Linked DNA regions of Macaca fascicularis. The protein of the gene in region 1 purifies or fractionates together with the protein of each later gene. This does not show direct contact. Links are inferred from orthologs where the notes say so. Each region holds a gene or a part of one and is shown on either strand. Other genes may lie near its edges.

What was found.
Region 2: the proteins of UTP4 (region 1) and WDR43 purify together in Homo sapiens (co-immunoprecipitation; 5 studies listed by BioGRID and IntAct, counting the BioPlex papers as one, with this or other methods). This does not show direct contact. The link is inferred for Macaca fascicularis from reciprocal best matches to the Homo sapiens genes UTP4 and WDR43.

What each region holds. Positions count from the first base shown.
Region 1 is NC_088394.1:65,253,134-65,261,448, reverse strand, and holds part of UTP4 (U3 small nucleolar RNA-associated protein 4 homolog), read right to left. Parts: intron 6,573-8,315; coding exon 6,401-6,572; intron 6,296-6,400; coding exon 6,204-6,295; intron 3,210-6,203; coding exon 3,113-3,209; intron 2,448-3,112; coding exon 2,383-2,447; intron 1,004-2,382; coding exon 881-1,003; intron 1-880. UniProt on the Homo sapiens protein: Ribosome biogenesis factor. Involved in nucleolar processing of pre-18S ribosomal RNA. Part of the small subunit (SSU) processome, first precursor of the small eukaryotic ribosomal subunit.
Region 2 is NC_088387.1:93,298,845-93,307,159, reverse strand, and holds part of WDR43 (WD repeat-containing protein 43), read left to right. Parts: intron 1-199; coding exon 200-320; intron 321-954; exon of another isoform or gene 955-1,039; intron 1,040-1,362; coding exon 1,363-1,502; intron 1,503-5,210; coding exon 5,211-5,313; intron 5,314-8,315. UniProt on the Homo sapiens protein: Ribosome biogenesis factor that coordinates hyperactive transcription and ribogenesis. Part of the small subunit (SSU) processome, first precursor of the small eukaryotic ribosomal subunit.

The DNA.
Region 1 (8,315 bases):
AGAACACTGGTTTCTCTCCAGAAACCTATACATCCCCCTTTCATCTCTTTAGTACATATTCACTTCCCTATCAAGGAAATAACTAAGTCACACATGAAACCACTAAACAGAAAAGCCTTAACTTTACTGCCTGTAGGGCATTACCCTATCCCTCTAAGAACATATTTCAAAACTTCAAAATGGAAATAAAGGCTGGGTGTGGGCCAGGTGCAGTGTCTCACACCTGTAATCACAGCACTTTGGGAGGCCGAGGGGACGGATCACCTGAGGTCAGGAGTTCAGGACAGCCTGGCCAACGTGGTCAAACCCCATCTCTACTAAAAACACAAAAATTAGCTGGGTCTGGTGGTGGGCACCCGTAATCCCAGCTACTCGGGAGGCTGAGGCAGGAGCACTCCGGCCTGCGTGACAAGAGCGAAAGTCGGTCAAAAAAAAAAAGCCAGGCACAGTGGCTCACGCCTGTAACCCCAGCACCCAGCACTTTGGGAGGCCGAGGCAGGTGAGTCACCTGAGGTCAGGAGTTCAGGACCAGTATGGCCAATGGGTGGTGAAACCCCATCTCTACTAAAAATAGGAAAATCAGCCAGGTGTGGTGGTGGGCGATTGTAATCCCAGCTACTCAGGAGACGGAAGCAGAAGAATCTCTTGAATCCAGGAGGCAGAGGTTGTAGTGAGCCAAGACCGCACTGGGCGACAAGAGCAGAACTCCGTCTCAAAAAAAAAAATAAATAAATAAAACAGCTTTGTAACAGCCCTCTCCAAATCTCCAAATAGTTTTTAACTGAGCAAGGATTCACATCCAGTTGATTTCCACTTCACACAAAAATGACATATTTAGGAAGTTTCCTCTTATGTGACCAGACATTGGACTATCACTTACCCTTTTGAGGCTTATGTTATCATGTTCATAATTCAGCCGATAGAGAAAAAACCGAGAAACTGTAGAACAGGCTATCCAACTTCCACACGGGGAGATACAGCTGCAGATAATGTTCTCAGGACCCTGGCAATATCAAGAATCAAGATGAACGTACAATTAAACTTCACATAACGAGGTGCACTGGGACATGACGCCTCAAGCTCTTGCCACTCTGGACATATCCACAGATATCTATACATAATCTCGATCCTCGTGTGGTCTGCGTTACTATGATGATTTCAGAGGCAGAGTACCTAAAAGGCGTGGCTTTGATTTCCAAATCCAAGAATGGAGGTCTATTCTTATTTTGGCCTTTTGAATACTTCATAGATAGCCTCATACTATACCCCAACTTCAGAAACCTGAGCAGGGAGGCATTTACTGAAGGAAAGCTCAGGAGGATAGGTGGTTTGAAGTACTTATTTTCTGTTTTGTCTACAACGTTCTGCTTTAAAGACTTCTAAGAAATAGCAAATGAAAAACATTTGGAAGCCAGGTCCGGTGAGTCGTGCCTGTAATCCCAGCACTTTGGGAGGCAGAGGTGGAGGACTGCTTGAGCCCAGGAGTTCAAGATCTGTCTGGGCAACATGGTAAAACCCTGGATCTACAAAAAATTAGCCGGGCATGGTGGTGCACACCTGTAGTCCCAGCTACCCGGGAGGGTGAAGTGGGAGGATCACCTGAGCCTGGGAGGTTGAGGCTGCAGTGAGTCGTGATGGTGCCACTGCTCTCCAGCCTGGAAAACACACTGAGACCCTGCCTCAAAAAGTAAGCAAACAAACAAAAAACCAACCAACTAAACAAACAAAAAAGAATCTGGAGAATAAAGAAAAGTTGAAAGTAACATTTATGTAATTTTTAAAAACTCACAAAACAAAATGTTTTTTTTCATTGTATACGCTTTTGTACTATTTGAGTTTTTAAAAATATGCACATGGCCAGGCGTAGTGGCTCATGCCTGTAATCCCAGCACTTTGGGAGGCCAAGGCGAGCGCATCACCTGCGATCGGGAGTTCAAGACCAGCCTGACCAACCCCGTCTTTACTAAAAATACAAAAAATTAGCTGGGCGTGGTGGCGCATGCCTGTAATCCCAGCTACTCAGGAGGCTGAACCAGGAGAATTGCTTGAACTCAGGAGGTGGAGGTTTCGGTGAGCCGAGATGGCGCCATTGCACTCCAGCCTGGGCAACAAGAGCGAAACTCTGTCTCAAAAACAAATGAATAAATAAATAAATGCACATTATTTTCATAATAATATCAAAAGAAGAGAAACCTATTTCCTGTATACATCCATCTAATAAATCCTCAATGTCCTACTTATAATCACGGGAAACCCAGTCCTGGTGACATAGTCCTTCATTCAAATAGTTTTAGAATTTATACAATTTGTGGTGTAAACTAACCTCAAAATTCAGAATGGGAAAAACGTTCTAGATTTCAGAGCCTAAACAAACTTCCTTACCTTTGTCTTCAGGTGCAGTAAATGATCTGCATTTTTAGAGAGTGGAAGAGTATCCCCATTCTTGCCTGAAACAAGAAACTTCCCTGAGATTTCTCTTATGAAAGAGAATTTGTACATTTTTTTTCTTCTAAAAAGTCACTCCCTGGAAGAATGGAATCTCTATCCGGGAGAAATCAGAAAAATGTAAGCTCACAACTTTTGAGGTGTATATGAAGAGGAAAACAGTGAGTACTTCCTTTGCTTCTACCTCTGATACATCACTAATTCCCTGAAGCTCTATTCCATAGCCAGGCACGCAGGTGGAGTCTGTGTGGCCTCAATTTTAATCCACTGCAAAAGAGAGGACTCACACATTTCCTTAATAGGTCACACAAAAAGGCCACTAGGCTGTCACTCCAATAAGATCCATGTGATCTTCTTTTTCGTACAAGATCATCATTACCCATCATTAAATCTTGTTATTTTCCAACAGCCTGTTTTCTTCTCAGTTACTACACCCTGCAGCGCACCACCACAAGCCATAAACCTTTAAGAGATGATTCAATATCCTACTAAAGATTCTAATACTCTAAATAACTTATTTGCTTTATCTAATGGGTGGGTAAACCATTAGTTAAAATGGACATAAAAGTCTACTTCAGTTTTTCTATAAGCAGAATTCCAACCACAATTCTGATTTCTGGCTTCTCTCTCCAGTTTTCTTATTGAAAAAAACGTGCTCTCATTTTACCTGTTGCAACTGTGGATCCCAGTCGCCAAAGTTCCAAGTGATGAGCAAACTGGAAGAGGAGAAGCTGCCTCTTTTTAGAACAGGAAATGAGACGTCGCTATATCCAAGAATCAAAAAGTTAAAAAATAAGTCAGGGTTATCTACTGCCTCAGTACCAGATACAGCAGCACCACCTTAGCACACTTTTTACTGCTGAAATCCATTTCCTTGACAAATATTTCCTAAGTACTCCCATATACCAGGCACTGCCCTGGGATCTATGAACACAATGATGAATTAAAACATAGCTACTGCTCTCAAGATGCTTCTAAAGGGGTGACACAGAACTAAATCAGCAATAAGACTTTAGTGTGACAAGAATTTTAACACGGCTAAACACAGTATGTACTGAAAACTAAGGAAAGAGGACTTCTAACCTAGACGTGTGGTGGTACACAGAAGTCCAGATGAGGTTCACTGGGAAAGACCAGTCAGGCGAAGGAGGCAGGGCGGAATGCTCTGAGGAGGGCGATGGCATGTGACATAGCTCAAAGGTAAGAGTATTTGCGGGAACAAAAAGACCTTGAGAGTGGCTAGCCTGGGTGGAGGTGCTACAAGCATGAGAGGTGCTACAGGAAGCTAAAGGGCCAGGCCTGGATGGAGACAGGTTCTATAAGACACACTAAGGAAACTGTCTTTATGCTGAAGCCAACAGGGATAATCAAAGGCTTTGAAGCATGCAGCAATGAACAAAGTTGCTTTAAAACAGATCAATGGGCCTGGAGCAGTGGCTCATGCCTGTAATCCCAGCACTTAGGAGGCTGAGGTGGGAGGATTGCTTGATACCAGGAGTTTGAGATCGGCCTGGGCAAGATAGTGAGATCTTGTCTCTATTAAAAATAAATAAAAAATAAAAAAATTAGCCGAGGCTGGGCGCAGTAGCTCACGTCTCTAATCCCAGCACTTTGGGAGGCCGAGGCTGGTGGATCACCTGAAGTCAGGAGTTCGAAACCAGCGGGGCCAACATGGTGAAACGCCGTCTCCACTAAAAATACAACAATTAGCCGGGCGTGGTGGCAGATGCCTGTAATCCCAGCTACTAGGGAGGCTGAAGCAGGAGAATCGCTTGAACCCAGGAGACCGAGGTTGCAGAGAGCCGAGATCACACCACTACACTCCAGCCTGGGCAACAAGGGCAAAGCTCCGTCTCAAAAAAAAAAAAAAAAGAAAAAGAAAAAAAGAAATTAGCTGAGCGTGGTGGCGGATGCCTGTGGTTCCAGCGACTCAGGAGGCTGAGGTGGGAAGACTGCTTGAGCTCAGGAAGCAGAGGTTACAGTGAGCCAAGATCACACCACTGCAATCCAGCCTGGGTGATGGAGCAAGACCTTGTCTCAAAAAAACAAAGACAAATAAAATAAAATAAAATAAAATAAGATCAATGAAGAATAGGCTAGAACGACACAAATGGAAATAAAAGGACATGATTAAGAAGCTACTGTAAAGGAACCCAGATGAGAAAAGACATTGATCCAAACTAGGATGATGCCAGCACAGACAAAGAGAAATGAATGACTCGATTCAAGAGATTATGAGGACTATGTTCAACTTTATCAAACTATATGCATTAAATATGTATGGTTTTTTTTTGTTTTTTTTTTTGTTTTTTTTTTGAGACGGAGTCTCGCTCTGTCACCCAGGCTGGAGTGCAGTGGCCGGATCTCAGCTCACTGCAAGCTCCGCCTCCCGGGTTCACGCCATTCTCCTGCCTCAGCCTCCCGAGTAGCTGGGACTACAGGCGCCCGCCACCTCGCCCAGCTAGCTTTTTGTATTTTTTTAGTAGAGACGGGGTTTCACCGTGTTAGCCAGGATGGTCTCGATCTCCTGACCTCGTGATCCGCCCGTCTCGGCCTCCCAAAGTGCTGGGATTACAGGCTTGAGCCACCGTGCCCAGCCAATATGTATGGTTTTTAATATATCAAATATGCCTCAATAGAGCTGTTGATCGACCGATCGATCAATCGATCTATCTCTACAACATATGTATAAAGATACTCATGAGTAGACTCAATGAGGTTTACTGGTTGAATGAATGGGGCAGCAGGTGTGGGGAGCAAGTTCTCTAGCTTGGGAAGATGGTACCATTTACCTAGAACACTGGAAGCCTGGGTTTTCCTGCTCCCACCCAGAATAGAGCCTACTCTGAAAGACAAACTAACAAAATTCCACAACTAATTGGAAAAGGGAAAAATTCCCCCAGAAACTGAACTAGGTGTGCTGCTGCATATCTCCTACCCCCCATAAATGTCTTTGCAGTGGCTTGCCTCAAAAACAGAAGGAATGAAGAAGGAGCTACAGAAAGTCCTACAATATCTCCATGTCCCAGATGGTTAAAAAAAAAAGGGGGGCTGGGTATGGTGGCTCACGCCTGTAATCCCAGCACTTTGGGAGGCCAAGGTGGCAGTATCACAAGGTCGGGAGATCAAGACCATCATCCCAGCTAACACAGTGAAACCCTGTCTCTACTAAGAATACAAAAAATTAGCCGGGTGTGGTGGTGGCAGGCACCTGTAGTCTCAGCTACTTGGAAGGCCGAGGCAGGAGAATGGCGTGAACCTGGGAGGCGGAGCTTGGAGTGGAGTTGCACCACTGCACTCCAGCCTGGGTGACAGAGTGAGCCTCCGTCTCAAAAAAAAAAAAAAGGCCTACAAGACTGAGCGTGGTGGCTCATGCCTATAATCCCAGCACTTTGGGAGGCCGAGGCAAGCAGATTACCTGAGGTTGGGAGTTCCGAGACCAGCCTGACCAACATGGAGAAACCCAGTCTCTACTAAAGATACAAAATTAGCCAAGTGCGGTGGCACATGCCTGTAATCCCAGCTACTCGGGAGACTGAGGCAGGAGAATCGCTTGAACCCGGGAGGCGGAGGTTGCGGTGAGCCAAGATCACGCCACTGCACTCCAGTCTGGGCAACAAGAACAAAATTCTGTCTCAAAAAAAAAAAAAAAGTCCTACAAATTTGCCAAGCGTGAGCTGTGTTCAGAGCCTTGTGGGACAGGGGGACAAAGGGATGGGGAGATGAGGGGTTGGCAGGGGCTTGGAATGGACACTTACATGGGGAAAGGTGATTTTTCGGAGAGCGGCATCGTAATTCTTTACCTCCACCTTCTCCATGAGAGGACGAATGACTAAGTGGGTGTCAGTGCCTGGTAAAGCAGGGGAGAAGGTGTACAGAATTAGAAGTCGTCCTGCACGAGAACAGCCAGAGCTGGGCAGGGTAAAGCAGCAGCCTCGCCAGGAGGGGAACCCACCTCCAGATATCAGCGCTGTTGGGCTGTGGGCCACAGTGCGCACGTCGTGAGTGTGATGCTGGAACGGTTTTGTCCGCACCCACTGCTTCTCACTGCTGTTAGATGTCACAGGGACCAGCTGAAAATGGAAGACTGTTCCCTCGGCTGTGCCCACCACAAAACTGTCTTCTTGCTGAGGAATTAAATCATGAAGGAGGTACATGTAAGCAAAACAAGGTCTGGTTGGAAAAATATTCCCTGAGGTTTTCTGTCTCAGCAGCTTAGGCGTAAACCTATGCCCAGAATCAGTAGGAAAGTTATAAGGGTCTTTTCCCTCCAGAAGCTAAGGATTCCATCAGAGGAGCAAGCTCAGACACTGGTAACAATGCGCCCCCTACTGACAAAATTAACAACGTCTAGAGTAGGAACAACACAGCAATGCTTCATATATACAACACAGATCTCCTTAGAATAGCACTGAGAGATAAAATACCTAGAACCTATTTGAGAAATTTAAATCCTTCCAAAGATCATAAGAGAAAACCTAAACAAAGAAATCCATAGCATGTTATTTAGTAGGAATATTTAACATGATCAAGTTATTATCACTAAAGAAACGTATTAAACCAATAAAAATACTGACAATCCTTTATTTAGAACTAGAACAGGTGTTTCTTAATAATGTTTATTTCATTAAAAATATCCAAGAAACATCAGTCAGACGTGGTGGCTCACTCTTGTAATCCCAGCACTTTGGGAAGCTGAGTTGGGTGGATCACTTGAGGCCAGGAGTTTGCGACCAGCCTGGCCAACACAGTGAACCCTGTCGCTACTAAAAATACAAAAATTAGCTGGGAGTGGTGGCGCATGCCTGTAATCCCAACTACTTGGACGGCTGAGGCACAAGAATCACTTGAACCTGGGAGGCAGAGGTTGCAGTATGCCAAGATCGCACCACAGCACTCCAGATTGGGCGACAGAGCAAGACTCTGGCTCAAAAAAAAAAAAAAACAAAAACCAAACAAAAAAAAAAAATACAAGAAACACCAATAAGAAAGTTTCTTAAATAAACAAGGTGGGCAGAGCAGCACAAACCTATAGTCCCAGCTACTCAGGAGACTGGGCAGGAGGATCACTTGAGCCCAGAAGTTGGAGACCAGTCTGCACAACACAGTGAGATCTCATCTTTATTTTTTATTTTTATTTCTTGAGACAGAGTCTCCCTCTGTCACCCAGGCTGGAATGCACTGGCATGATCCCGGCTCACTGCAACCTCTGCCTTCTCAGGTTCAAGAGATTCTCCCACCTCGGCTTCCCAAGTAGCTGGGATTACAGGCACACACCACCACATCTGGTTAATTTTTGTTTTTGTTTTTTTTGAGACGGAGTTTCACTCTTGTCGCCCAGGCTGGAGTGCAATGGCACAATCTCAGCTCACTGCAACCCCTGCCTCCTTGGTTCAAGCCATTCTCCTGCCTCAGCCTTCCAAGTAGCTGGGATTATAGGCATGTGCCACCATGCCTGGTTAATTTTTGTATTAGTAGAGACGAAGCTTCACCATATCATCCAGGCTGGTCTCAAATTCCTGACCTCAGGTGATGCACCCTCCTTGGCCTCCCAAAGTGCTGGGATTACAGGTGTGAGTCGCTGCGCACGGGCTTGCATTTTTTTTTTTTCAGTAGAGACACGGTTTCGCCATGTTGGCCAGGCTGGTCTCAAACTCCTGACCTCAGGTGATTCGCCCACCTCAGCCTCCCAAAGTCTCATTTTTAAAAAGAATGAAAGAAATAAACAAGAAAAAAACAAAACAAAACAAAAAAACATAACTCACAACACAAACAAAAAACCCAAACAAGAGTAGTAATGTGGCTGGACATGATGGCTCACATCTATAATCCCGCACTTTCAAAGGCAAGAGAATCACTTCAGCCCAGGA
Region 2 (8,315 bases), on another chromosome or scaffold:
AGGAACCCAATCAGTGAGGTTTTATCACAGTGGTATATCCAGGGTTAGTTACCTGACACAAGCTTTTAGGGAATGTAATTGTCATAGGACCTGAGGTGATATTTTTAATGATTGCTCAGTTTGTTTTTTTGTTATTTTCTGCTCTGAGTAAAGTTTTCTCTTATGTATTGAGATGCTTTTGTTTCTCTTCACAATATAGCAAATGGAAAGGCGACAATAGCAGTGTCAGTTCCCTATGTATCAGCCCAGATGGAAAGATGTTGCTTTCAGCTGGTCGAACAATCAAACTATGGGTTTTGGAGACCAAAGAAGTCTACAGAGTGAGTGAATCAAATTATTTGTAAGCATAAAAATTACAGTAAACATGGAGAAAGGCAGAAGTTTGAGCCATAAAATATTATTTTAAGAATACAGATTCTTCATTGTGAGGTACATCAAATAGTTTAGTGGACAAAAGTTAGCCTCCTAATCTGATTTGTTGATGTTAAAAAGACTACACATGTCTACTTCAAATGTATTGGAAAAATGAATAGAACCAATATTCAAGAAACAAGATTTTAAAAGAAATTTAAATATATATACCAACTGTGTATCCACAAAAAAGAAAAAGTTACCTTATAAAAAACAAAATAGATTTTGAGACAGGATCTCTCTCTGTCGCCCAGGCTGGAGTGCAGTAACGCCATCACAGCTCACTGCAGCCTTGACCTCCCAGGCTCAAGCGATCATCCCACCTCAGCCTCCTGAGCAGCTGGGAATATAGGCACTTGCCACCATGCCTAGCTCAAAAAAGATTTTCTTAATAAAAAATTTTTTACTATGTGATGATTATGGTAATTTTGATTTCTAGCCTACATTCAGCATTTAGTCTACTTACTGTATTTGACTGCGGAGATTTAGTATTACATTTTTGGAGGAGGAAAAAGCTTTCACTCAGGGCTTACTGAACATTTGGTGCTGTGATGATGCCTTAATATTGTGGTTTCGACTCACTGAGAGTAAAATGAGGACCTACAATTCCTTGGCTGTGTCTGAGCACCTAAGTGTACGCCTTTTAAAATGGATAGAATTAAGTGAATCTTTAATTCAAGAATGTAAGAAATAAAGGTGCAGAGTGGTAGGGTCATGGGAGTTAGAAGGAACATCTAAATTTTCAGTATTTTCAGATGCATTTTTTTAAGAAGTGGGAGTATTGTAGCACAAATAACCTTATTTGCTTAGAATTGAATTTAATAGTTACTTCATTGTGAAGCTCTCCTTTCAGATATGTATCACATATGGCTTGTTTATGATACATATATACTAATAATTTTTGTCCCTGCTTTGAATCTGCTCTCCTAACTGGGATTTAACTTTCTCTAGCATTTCACAGGACATGCAACGCCAGTTTCGTCACTGATGTTCACTACCATCAGACCTCCTAACGAGAGCCAGCCCTTTGATGGAATTACAGGTCTTTATTTCTTATCTGGAGCAGTACATGACCGGTTGCTTAATGTCTGGTATGTAGTTCTTTTGGATTTGGGAGGTAGCATTGAAAGAATCTGTCAGAGCTTATGTAGTTAATGTAAATTATGACTGTGGGACTTTGTTGTATCTAATACTGGATTTACATTGAGTCATAATAAAGAATTGAGCCTGTCTACAAAACAGATCTTTCTGAGAAAAAAATTAAGTGCATTATGTAATAAAGCCTCCTGTGCTTGTTTAGTGATACAGTGGACTGAATAGTTTTGTGGTTGGGCAGTTTAGAAATAACTTTTAAAAAATTTAGAAAGACCTTTAATTTTGAAATATGTGGCACCACTGGGTTAATGCAGTAATGTCTGTTTATGGAGGGCATACAAATTCCTTGGCTGTCTGAGAATTTCCAGTAACCCCTTTTTGCAGTAGCTGCTATTAACTAGTTCCCTTTGAAACCACTTTTAAAAGTTAAAATCGGGCCGGGCGCCATGGCTTACGCCTGTCATCCCAGCACATTGGGAGGACGAGGCGGGCAGATCACGAGGTCAAGAGATCAAGACCATCCTGGCCAACATGGCGAAACCCTCTCTGTACTAAAAATACAAAAATTAGCTGGGCGTGGTGGCACGCACCTGTAGTCCCAGCTACTCGGAAGGCTGAGGCAGGAGAATTGCTTAACTCAGGAGGTAGAGGTTGCAGTGAGCCGAGATCGCGCCACTGCACTCTAGCGACAGAAAGAGACTCGGTCTCAAAAAAAAAAAAAAAAAAAAAATCAGTGATACAAAGTCATCAAAAAAATTTTTTAGAAATTTCCTGGATTTTATTACAGCATCTGATGGTGAAGTTGGCTTGAAAAAAAACCATCCTGCTGTTCATAGACAAAATAAGTAGAGATTAGAGATCTTTTTAGATCTCTACTTTTCTCATCTTAGTAATAATTAATTGAGCATGCTCTTCACCATGTAGAATTACTATGAATTTATACAAGATAATACTCATTAGAAGTGGGACTCATCCAATATGTATTCCTTAAAAAGGTAGTTGTGTGGGGGTCATAAGTCAAAATGTGGGCCTCTGTTTACCTTCAAAACCACCAGCAAAGCCATAATTCCTAATTATGACTCTTATAATTAAACAGATTTGGTTTTCTGTTTCGTGTTTGATTTTTGAGAAGAGCCAATGGAGATAAATTCTTTTAGTTTTAGAGGGTCTGACAATTACATAAGAAATTAGTGGTACTAAAAAATTAAAATCTACTACCAGCATTCCCTGGCATTACTGAGTTGCACAATCTCAAATGTTTTACCACTTAGGCTGCCTCATACGTAGGAGTCTCCAGCTACAAAATTTCATAATATAAAATAAAAGTTGCTTTATGTTAATCTTAAGAACCTGAATAGTATCTTGGTATAAAGGAAATAAACTTAAAATTAACCATACACACAAAAGAAAAATATTAAAAACCATATTGAAAAGCTGCCCAACGAGCTCTGTAAATTTGCGTGGGGATAGGTAGAGCAGGCCTAAAGTTCCCTGATAATTTCCTTTGAAAGACACATTTCTGTGAGGACATAACATGCAAAGGCTTCTTGCTGAGCGAAGATTAAAAGATCAACCCCAGTACTATCTTCTATTGATTAGTTAAGATACTGTGTATAGTGGTCTGATGGCAGAGATTTTGAACATACATGAATGACTTCATGTTAGAGTGCATCTTACTCAGAATTTTTGCATGAAAACATTTAGAATTCATCAAATCAACTCTTAATTTTCTTCTGGACTCCAAAGAAGCTGGTTTGAGTCATGTTTGTAAATCATGTTTGTTATATATTATTTTTAAAAATGTGTACCTAAATTTTAAAAACAGCTATATTGAAGTATAGTTGACATGTAATGAACTGTACATACCAGAATGTACAAACTGATGAATTGTAACATACATATACATTGTGAAACTCTCACCACAAACAAGATGTTGAATGCGTGTCTTCATGTCTTCTTGTAACCTCTCAGTTTCCAGACTTGTTGACAGGTTTTGGGCCATTACAAATAAAGTTGCTATGGACATTTTTTGTGTACAAGTCTTTATATGGACATGTGATTTCATTTCTTTTGGGTAAATACCTAGGAGTGCAGTGGCTGGATCATATGATAGGTGTACATTTAACTTTTCAAGACATCACCAGATTTTTTTTCAAAATGGTTGTATCATTTTGCATTTTTACCAGCAGTGTATGAAAATGGGAATTCCTTCACATCCTCATCAACACTTGGTATAGCATTTACTTTTAGCCATTCTAATAGGTGGGTAGTGGTATTTTGTGCTGTTAAATTGGCTTTCTCTAATGGCTCATGATGTTAAGAGTCATGTTTTTGCGTTATGGATATCCAGGGATCCCAGTATCATTTGTTGAAAAGATTATCTCTGCTGACTTGGTTTTGCATATACCCCTCCCCCTGTAACCCCGAACATCTACACACACCCACACATCCCTGCACCCACACTCTTATCCCTATATCAGTTCTCATTTATAGTTGTTAAGTCCTATAAAGTCCCCATGAACACTGATTTAGGCAATAACATTACTCCTTTGGGAAATAGAAGATTAGGTTCCCGTGAGCCTCCAGTTATAACATTTTTGTCATCTATTTATTTTTTGTTTATATTATTTATATTGTAAAGATAGCCAACTTGTAACATTTTTGTCATTAATATATAAAACCTTGTTTTATGTTTGTTTCTATTTAAAGATATTTAATGCATATGTTTTTGATTGATTAACTTGGAATTCAGAGCACTACAACTCATGTCTGAGTGAAGCTTATGTAACACATATTTTCACTGTAAGGCACATCACAGCCTTCTTGTGCTTAGGAACACCATAGAACACTTCAGAAGTATGCTTGGGGGCCATTTTAAATAGTGAAATCTCCAAGAAAGCACAGAAATGCAAAAAACATGGTACTAGCTGAACTACTTGTTGATAGTATGAAAACGGCAATGGGAAGGCAGAAGGTAGCTACCTTAGCTGAAGACGTTGAATGTGTTAGGCAACTCCGATTTTTCACTAGTCTACATGACTGAAGGAGCATAAAATTGTCACAGTGATTTTGAGGTTACAAATAAAATTTTGCAAAAGATGAGTTTGCAAATAAGGAATCCATGAATAGTGACAATCAATTGTATACGTGTGTATATATAGGTCTGTTTCTGTGCTCTTTACTCAATACCATTATCATGTTAAATCTCCCCAAATTGACCTACAGATTCAGTGCAGACCCATTCAAAATCTTAGCAGGCTTTTTTGTTTGAGAAATTGACAAACTGATTCTAAAATTCAAATGGAAATACAAATGACAATAGGCAAAATCATTTTGAAAAAGAAGAAAAACATTGGAGGACTAAGATTGATTTCAAGACCTGTTATCAAGTGGCATTAATCATGATAGTGTGGTGTTAGTATCAAGGTAGACAAACAGATCAATAGAAAAGAACAGAATGTTACTCTTGTTTAAATCTGCTACAAATGCATTATTGCTTTCTCTTTTCTCAAGCAACCATGTTATATGGTAGTGACATGGATGTTTCCCTTGTTTTGATCTTTAGTCACTTTACCAGTTTTCAAAAGATGACAAAGCTATTGGGAATTTCATGTGCCGATCTCCCTGCCCCCTTAGGTGTTTGCCTTTTTAGAAAAAAAAAATTAAATCTGTCTTGCGATCTAATTGCTGGTTTTGTTATCTAGGCAGGTCCGATCAGAAAACAAAGAAAAGAGTGCAGTGATGTCATTTACAGTTACCGATGAACCTGTCTATATTGACTTAACTTTGTCAGAAAACAAAGAAGAGGTAAATGGCTCGATTTTTGAGAATTTGTTTTTGGGTTTCACAGATGTTATTTTTACAGTCAAGGTTTTGATGATTTAATGACTTGAAAAAGAGAGAGGACCTGAGGGAGTAACAACAAACTAACAAAATTTAGACTGTTCAAAGGAACTTAAATCACTGTGATAATCTCTTATGGGGGAAGGGAAAATTTTGTACAGGACGGTAGTAAATTCAGGAACTCGTTATGTGAATTAAGAAAAGTTGTTGAGATGGATTTTGTTGCTAGGAGTATGTATATACTATTCTTTAATCAGATGAAATTGTTGGTGATAGATCCTAACTAAGGGGTGTGTGTGTGTGTGTGTGTGTGTGTGTGTATTTATGTATATATACATATAAATCTCTTTTTTAAAACATTTTTTTGAGATGGAGTTTCGCTCTTGTTGCCTAGGCTGGAGTGCAATGGCTTACCACGACCTCTACCTCCCGGGTTCAAGCGATTCTCCTGCCTCAGCCTCCCGAGTAGCTGGGATTACAGGCATGCGCCACCATGCCCGGCTAATTTTGTATTTTTTAGTAGAGATGGGGTTTCTCCATGTTGGTCAGGCTGGTCTCGAACTCCCTATCTCAGGTGATCCAACCGCCTCAGCCTCCCAAAGAGCTGGGATTACAGGTGTGAGCCACTGCACCCAGCCTATATATGTATATATTTTATAAGAATGATGTCCTCTTGTTTGCTGCCTATAAAAAAAGAATTTTTCATGTAAAAATTAGGGATTCGATGATTAAAGGATTAAACCTGTTGTCACTCAAGTACTTGATGTTTCTGTTTGACTAAAGCTTTGCAGGATTTTGATTTGCACAGAATCTCATGTTTTTAATGCAAGTTAAGGATATTTCACTTTTAACTCAGTTTAGTTTTGAAATGCATATTTTGCATTAACCTCTAGGATTTAGAGATGATTTAGACATTTTTCATCATGTTTTAATACTTTGAAAAAGTGTTTTGGGGAAAAAGCATTGGTTTAAAACTAAAAAAAATTTGGTTTAATGTTGTTTCTGGCTGGGTGTGGTGGATAACTTGAGCCCAGGAGTTCATGACCAGCCTGGGCAACATAGCGAGACCCTGTCTCTACAAAAAATAAAAAAATTACCTGGGCATGGTGGCATGCACCGGTGGTCCCAGATACTTGGGAGGCTGTGGTGGGAAGATTGCTTGAGCCTGGGAGGTTGAAGCTGTAGTGAGCTGTGATCCTGCCACTGCATTCCAGCCTAGGTGACAGTGAGACCCCGTCTCAGTAAATAAGTAAATAAATGAATATATACAGCTTCTGTTGCTAATAAACTTGGCTTTCTAATATGAAGTGGGGGCCATTGATGATCACATCAGTGATTCCCTATAAAGATTTTTGTCTTTAAGAAAACTAGTAGGGGCCAGGCGCAGTAGCTCACACCTGTAATCTCAGCACTTTGGGAGGCCGAGGTGGGCGAATCATGAGGTCAGGCGATTGAGACCTTCCTGGCTAACACGGTGAAACCCCGTCTCTACTAAAAATACAAAAAATTAGCCGGACGTGGTGGCAGATGCCTGTAGTCCCAGCTACTTGGGAGGCTGAGGCAGGAGAATGCTGTGAACCCGGGAGGCGGCGTTTGCAGTGAGCCGAGATCGCACCCCTGCACTCCAACCTGGGCAACAGAGCAAGACTCCATCTCAAAAAAAAAAGAAAACTAGTAGGAATCCTACACTTAATTACAATAATGATTTAATGTTATTATAAAGTTGTTGGACACACTTGTGCATATTCAGTGTGATCAGTGCACTCACTATTCTGATGATTGGACGTTCTGATCATAGGGAACTCATGAGAAACATTTTGGTATTTTCCCCTATAACTTTTTTTTTTTTTTTTGAGACAGAGTCTCTCTTTGTCGCCCAGGCTGGAGTGCAGTGGCATGGTCTTGGCTCACTGCAATCTCCGCCCCCGGGTTCAAGCAGTTCTCTTGCCTCAGCCTCCCTAGTAGCTGAAATTACAGCCTGCACTACCACGCCTGGCTAATTTGTGTACTTTAGTAGAGACAGGGTTTTGCCATGTTGGCCAGGCTGGTTTCGAATTCCTGGCCTTGAGTGATCTGCCTGTCTCGGCCCCCCAAAGTGCTGGAATTACAGGTATAAGCCTGTAATTTTTTTTAGACAAAATCTTGCTCTGTCACCCAGGCTGGAGTGTACTGGTACGATCTCAGCTCACTGCAGCCTCTGCTTCTCAGGTTCAAGTGATCCTTCTGCCTCAGTATCCCAAGTAGCTGGGACTATAGGTGCATACCACCACGCCTGGCTAATTTTTGTATTTTTCTAGTAGAGATGGGGTTTTGCCATGTTTGGCAGACTGGTCTTAACTCCTGACCTCAAGTGATCTGCCCACCTGGCCTCCCAAAGTGCTAGGATTACAGGCATAAGCCACCCTGCCTGGCCAAAAGTTTTAAACCTTTATTTGTGTGTGTGTGATTTTTAGAGGTAGGTTCTTTAAGTCTAAATACAAGTAATTTATGGAAGAAAAATCACTTTCCTTGGAGTCTATGTAGAGAATAGACTGAGGGGTGTTTTTGGTTTGTTTTTTTGTTTTTGAGACAGAGTCTCCCTCTGTCGGTCAGGCTGGAGTGCAGTGGTGCGATCTCAGCTCACGGCAACCTGTGCCTCCCAGGTTCGAGCAATTCTCCTGCCTCAGCCTCCTGGGTAGCTGGTACTACAGGCACACACCATCACACCCAGCTAATCTTTGTATTTTTAGCAGAGATGGGGTTTCACCATGTTGGCCAGGCTGGTCTCGAACTCCTGACCTCAGGTGTTCTGCCCGCATTGGCCTCCCAAAGTGCTGGGATTATAGGCGTAAGCCATTGCGCCTGGGCAAGACTGAGTTTTTTCTTTCTCTTTTTCTGAGTGAATTCTGTTGCTACTTTTAGATTTAATTTTAGGTTTGATTCAGAGTTTATCTTGGAATACTGTTGGCATTATATTTAAAATGATC